2 linked regions of the Macaca fascicularis genome follow. The protein of the gene in region 1 binds, or shares a complex with, the protein of each later gene. Links are inferred from orthologs where the notes say so. Each region holds a gene or a part of one and is shown on either strand. Other genes may lie near its edges.

Region 1 (3,751 bases):
AAAAAAAAAAAGCAGTATTTCAAATGTGTTCTTTAGGCTCATTAATTTACTTTATTCTTGAAAAGAAACATACCAGCTTACGAATTCGGTCCAACACAAGGTCAATGATCTCCTTGCCAATGGTGTAGTGCCCTCGGGCATAGTTATTGGCAGCATCTTCCTTGCCTGTGATGAGCTGCTCAGGGTGGAAGAGCTGGCGGTAGGTGCCAGTGCGAACTTCATCTGGAGAAGGAGGGAGAGAAGGATGGAGGGAGTGGGTGAGTGGGTGACTAGCGGAGCCCCCCAGGACAGACCTCCTGTCCCAGCATCCTGGGATCTCACTTGGGTTACTGAGGTCAACTCACCAATGACCGTGGGTTCCAAGTCTACAAACACGGCCCGGGGCACATGCTTGCCAGCGCCCGTCTCACTGAAGAAGGTGTTGAAGGAATCATCTCCTCCCCCAATGGTCTTGTCACTTGGCATCTGACCATCGGGCTGGATGCCGTGTTCCAGGCAGTAGAGCTCCCAGCAGGCATTGCCAATCTGGACACCAGCCTGGCCAACATGGATGGAGATGCACTCACGCTGTGGGAAGGAAAAGTGAAACAATTGTAAAATTAAGGCGTATTAGCATTTCAAACTCTTAGTAAACTTTTAAAAATATTTCTAATAATATACAGATATTTTTCAAAATTATTTGAGGTCACATCCCTAGCACGATACAAAGATTAAGGAAAATGACCTGCTGCAAATGCTGCATATGGGTGTGGTCTGAATAATGATGTCGCCTTGGCCCTGTTCAGCACATGGTACCAGCCCATTGTGCCTACTACCATGCTTGAATAGAAGACTTTTCATATTTAAAAAGTATTCAGTATTCAAAGCACAAATTTTGTAAAATGAAGTAAATTCAATTATGACATAATTGGGATTAATTTTACTGCTTTCTTCCCTTTTAAATAAAGAAGAAAGTTTCTTCTGAATAGGACTGACTTGATATTATAACATGGACATCTGTACTGCAGCTGAGGCAAGAAGCCACACCCTTCTGCAGTCTGTCTGCAGAATCCATCAATACAAGGGGTTTAGACAAGGTCTGCTTCTGCCTTCTGCATTGCTGCATTGCTGTATTTGCTGTGCCTGGTGCTAGCCTGTACTGTCTGCTACATTATTTAACAGAGCAAGCTCTATTTCCAGCAACTGCCTACATGATCTCATTGTGCTGTTTTGCCAGTTTTCCTCCTCTGACCCCGCCCGGGACCATGTGCCTGAATTGAAATGAATTAATGAAGATGCACTAGAACAAAAGACAACGGGATGGGGAGTATAATTCTTCTTTGTCTGTAGCAATTTCATTCCTTTTTTTAAAGAAAAAGGTTTTTCCAGATCTTCTCCACTGTAAAAGCTGAAAAATTATCCGTATCTTCACACACACACACACACACACACACACACACACACACACACACACACCTTCCTAAGTTAGAAACAAGCATCACATGAAAAGGTAGCAAACAAAGAATAAAAGCCCAGTGGAACGATAGTGAAATATTTATTTAAAACAACAAAATAGTATTTTAATCCTGAGATTCTCTACCCACCACATAATATTCATATTCTTTGCATCCAATAGAGGTTTTCTTCTCTGTGGTCTTTAGGGCTACCACTTTCATTGTCTATTCGCTGATGTGGTGGGGGCGGGGCGGAGGGGGGCGGCGGGGAAGGGCGTTTCCCTGGTCCTGACCATCAGGGTACCCTGGGGCTCACAAAGTGGGCTTTCTCCCTCGCTGAACGAGCAGCGCGCGCGCACACACACACACACACACACACACACACACGACCATCAGGGTACCCTGGGGCTCACAAAGTAGGCTTTCTCCCTCGCTGAACGAGCAGCACGCACGCACACACACACACACACACACACACACACACACACTTCAGTCGGTCAGGGCAGGGCGTCCCCAGACCAGACATTAAAGAGTTTGTCAAGTGAATTGTGATTTTGCTCAAGAGAAAAAAAAAGGTCATCTTAATTATAATAGCGAAGAAAACCCTTTTGGAGCCTACAGTTCCGCAATGATGAAAAGTTTTTTTTAAGTCAGCTCCTGACAGAGGAGGTTTAGTGAGGGCGAACCCCGCCCAGTGGCTCCAACGCCATAGAAGCCAGAAACAAACAACCCCGCCCCTGCGCCGCCCTGACACCCGCTGCCCGGGGCTCCAGTAGAAACTCACCATGTTTCCCCGGGAATGTGTGGTTATCTTTCCAAAACGCCAACGACCGCGAGGGGTCTTCCCACGCTAACCCCAGGCTGCGCTTTGTTCCCGTTCCCCCTCCCACATCCCCCAGCTCGCCCAACGCCCCCGCTCTTTTTGGGTGCCTCCTCCTCTCCCGGTCCCCAGAGAACGAGGCGAGACAGAAAGGGGCCCCTCGGCGTCTGCGAAACCGTGCGCACAGACACTGGACCCAGCCGGGACGCCCGAGACCCCTCGGTCGCGGCAGACGGGCTGCCCGCGACCCCGAAAGGCTGTAGGACAACACAGGCGCCCAGGCGCCGCCTTTGTTCCTCCCCAGCGCTCTGCAGCGCCCTGGGCGCAGTCCTGGCCGGGTTCCTGCACCCGCACTGCGGCGGCGGCGGAGCTGGAGGATTTGGGGTAAAGCTAAACCTCACAAAACACACCACCACCCTCGCCCAGAGAGCTTACGAAAGAAAAGAGCTTAAAGATTTTCCAAGCAGAGCCTGGGGGCGCTGACTCCACCCAACGGCCACAAAGAGCCAAAGCCGATTCTCACCATGGTTGCTGCTTCGCGACTGCAGAGCAGATGGCGGAGACAAGGAGGAGAAGGTTGTTGCTTCTTACAGCGCGACTCTTAGGCGGTCGATGTAAGAGAACCTGCGGCACATGGGCGGATGCGGCTCCATATATACAACTCGGTCACCATGGGGATGGGCCGGGGCCTGTTCCTGTTGGTCCAGACCCCCAATCTGCCCAGAGAAGCCAGGACAGGAGACTGGTGATTGGTGCAAACGACGTGGGATGAGGTAATCTCTCCCCCACCCCTTTTTCTCTAGCATCCGTAGACTGTTTGCATCCTTTAGACAAAGAGACCGTGCAGAAGCATTCTGCCGAGCATCCATTATGGGGTGGGGTCGGGGAGGGGCGGAAGAAGAAAGGGGACTGGGGTTGGAAGACTTTATGTTGCTTAAACCTCAAAATACAGTTAAAATTATCTATGTGAGGTTTTTTCCCCCTACCCTTAATAACAGATTTATGTTCAGATTAAATATTTAAAGGAAAATTACTGCCAGCCCCTCCCTCGCAGTATATTAAACTCGACTACATTTTGTTAGGGTTCAATATCTCTAATTGCTTTAAAAATAAAGTGGGAGAGAAAATGGGCGTAATGCTCAAAACGGTCTGGGTAATTGTGATTTTTTTTAATTTAAAAAAAAGATTTAGTCATACAGTCATTCAAAATGGTTTCTCAGGTTCAACTAACTTATTTTCAGAGCTTCTTTTGCAGGCACATGCACACTCGAATAGCTAAATAAAACTGGAAGATGGAAATAATAACCATACTAAATAAAGAAGCGAACAAATAGTTCTAACATGGCAATAATCAACAGCAAGTGCACGTAGAGTAGTTATAATAGTTTACTAGAGGTATTCCTTTATGAGAAGTCTATGTAACACATTTTGTGTGGTGCATTGTCCTTTGGAATGAATCATCTTTCCTGATATAAAATTGGGAAAATACAAGGAGAAA
Region 2 (2,482 bases), on another chromosome or scaffold:
GATACACACTGTTCAATTAAGGTATGACTGTAATTCCAGGCGTTTGGGAGGCTGAGGCAAGTGGATCACCTGAGGTCAGGAGTTCAAGACCAGCCTGGCCAACATGGTGAAACCCCATCTCTAATAAAAATACAAAAATTAGCCAGATACACTGGCACACACCTGTAATCCTACCTACTTGGGAAGCTAAGGCTGGAGAATCGCTTGAACCCAGGAAGTGGAGGTTGTAGTGAGCCGAGATCACGCCACTGTACTCCAGCCTGGGCAACAGAGCGACACTCCGTCTCAAAGAAAAACAAAAAAAGGTATGGCTCACATAGCACTTTGCCATACTGGGGAGAAGGAGGATTACAATGTTGGATAGGTCTAATGAGAGTTCTTTTTTTTTTTTTTTTTTTTGAGATAGAATCCTACTTTTATTGCCCAGGCTGGAGTGCAGTGGCACAATCTCGGCTCACTGCAACCTCCACCTCCTGGGTTCAAGCGACTCTCCCTCCTCAGCCTCCCAAGTAGCTGAGACTACAGGCACCCACCACTACCCCCAGCTAATTTTTGTATATTAGTAGAGATGGGGTTTCATCATGTTGGTCAGGCTGGTCTCAAACTCCTGACCTTAGGTGATCTGCCCACCTCAGCCTCCCAAAGTGCTGGGATTACAGGGGTGAGACACCACACCCAGCCAGAGTTCTAATAGGTTGTTAGTTGCACTGACTGGAATTCAGTCAAATGATATATTGGATTCAACCGTTTTTTAATACCATGTGTTAGGTCAGTGTGCTAGGAGCTGGGGATACAGTGGCGAATATGGCATTTTACATATAATGAAGAAATCTGTTACATGCTTTTTACGTTCATGCCTGTGGAGCTTTATTGAGAACTAATGTGCAGTGTACTTTTTCTGCCATTCCTGCAATCAGTGACCCTTCCCTGCTTACTGGAATCTTTGTCTTACCTGCTTAGACATTGCACTCGCCTGATTCCGTCTCTGATTGCTTCTCTGGGGTCCTCCTCATTCCCAGTTACAATCCTCACAAACCAGGTCTTTCCTTTTGGCCTGACTCCATTTTGCAGGCTTCAGCTACTACTTCATGTGGACAACCAATCCTTCTGAGCTCTCCTCCAACAAGTTACACCTCCAGTTTTCTACCTGTTATTTGCATTAGAATGTCTCATCTTTTCTTTTCTTTTTTTTTTTTTTTGAGACGGAGTCTCGCTCTGTCGCCCAGGCTGGAGTGCAGTGGCGCGATCTCAGCTCACTGCAAGCTCCGCCTCCCGGGTTCACGCCATTCTCCTGCCTCAGCCTCCCAAGTAGCTGGGACTACAGACGCCCGCCACCTCGTCCGGCTAATTTTTCGTATCTTTTTAGTAGAGACGGGGTTTCACCGTGTTAGCCAGGATGGTCCTGATCTCCTGACCTCGTGATCCACCCGCCTCGGCCTCCCAAAGTGCTGGGATTACAGGCTTGAGCCACCGCGCCCGGCCCTAGAATGTCTCATCTTTTCTTCAAACTCAGTACATCTAAACCTGAGCTCATCATTTTTCCTATCTGCTCCCAACTCTTTACTCCCCTCATCCCACTCTATACCTTCTCCTATATTCCTGGCCTGTTTCTGTCAGTTCTCACTAAGAAAACTTAGGAGGATCAAGAGCCTGGGGAGTCTTGCCCCATACCATTCTTCTCTTTGCAGATGTCTGAGATTCAGATAAAACCAGATGGGGCCGGGCGTGATGGCTCATGCCTATAATCTCAGCACTTTGGGAGGCTGAGACAGGTGTATCACTTCAGGTCAGGAGTTCAAGACCAGCCTAGCCAACGTGGCAAAACCCTGTCTCTGCTAAAAATACAAAAATTAGCTGGGCATAGTAGCACATGCCTGTAATCCCAGCTACTTGAGGGGCTGAGACAGAAGAGTCACTTGAACCCAACAGGCAGAGGTTGCAGTGAGCTGAGATCATGCCACTGCACTCCAGCTTCTGTGACAAAGTAAGATTCTGTCTCAAAAAATAAAACAAAAAACACAAATAAAACTGGATGGAATAAGGCGATGCTACTGAAGCTAACCACATCAGCAAGGCTTTCTGTATAACCAGGTTGTCCTGGATATGGTTTCTCTTTTGCAGAAATTGCCATACAAGAACCCAACTCACCTTGCTCAGCAGCAGGAACCCTGGAGTCGGCTCAACTCAACCCCCACAGTTACTTCCATGAGGCGGGATGCCTACTATTTTGATCCCGAGGTATCTAGCATTGAAATATTCCTCTTTGCAGCCATTTAGGGTTTTTTTTTTTTTTTTTTCCTGTCACCCAGGGTGGAATGCTGTGGCCTGATCATGGTTTACTGTAGACTGAACCTCCCAGGCTCAGGCAATCCTCCTGCCTCTGCCTCCTGAAACTATAGGCATGTGCCACGACATGCAGCTAATTTTTTTTTGAAGAGATGAGGTCTCAATATGTTGCTCAGGCTGGTCTCAAACTCCTGGC

The links.
Region 2: the proteins of tubulin alpha-1A chain (region 1) and CFAP276 are in contact, whole or in part, in a cryo-EM structure (PDB 7UNG), measured with the Homo sapiens proteins. The link is inferred for Macaca fascicularis from reciprocal best matches to the Homo sapiens genes TUBA1A and CFAP276. Residues at the interface, in NP_001257328.1 of Homo sapiens: Lys112, Glu113, Ile115, Asp116, Leu117, Leu119, Asp120, Arg123, Lys124, Asp127, Arg156, Ser158, Val159, Asp160, Gly162, Lys163, Leu195, Glu196, His197, Ser198, Asp199, Tyr262, Pro263, Arg264, Trp346, Lys430, Asp431, Glu434, Val435, Val437; in NP_001231954.1 of Homo sapiens: Pro43, Trp44, Arg46, Leu47, Asn48, Thr50, Pro51, Thr52, Ile53, Thr54, Ser55, Arg57, Arg58, Ala60, Tyr62, Asp64, Ile67, Pro68, Lys69, Asp70, Asp71, Phe74, Arg75, Lys90, Ser91, Leu94, Leu95, Asn96, Lys98, Thr99.

Annotation. Positions count from the first base shown.
Region 1 is NC_088385.1:56,001,662-56,005,412, forward strand, and holds the start of tubulin alpha-1A chain, read right to left. Parts: upstream 2,882-3,751; 5' UTR 2,780-2,881; coding exon 2,777-2,779; exon of another isoform or gene 2,221-2,776; coding exon of another isoform or gene 2,218-2,220; intron 568-2,217; coding exon 345-567; intron 223-344; coding exon 74-222; intron 1-73. UniProt on the Homo sapiens protein: Tubulin is the major constituent of microtubules, a cylinder consisting of laterally associated linear protofilaments composed of alpha- and beta-tubulin heterodimers.
Region 2 is NC_088375.1:125,240,632-125,243,113, forward strand, and holds part of CFAP276 (cilia- and flagella-associated protein 276), read left to right. Parts: intron 1-2,121; coding exon 2,122-2,238; intron 2,239-2,482. UniProt on the Homo sapiens protein: Microtubule inner protein (MIP) part of the dynein-decorated doublet microtubules (DMTs) in cilia axoneme, which is required for motile cilia beating. May play an important role for the maintenance of myelin-axon integrity.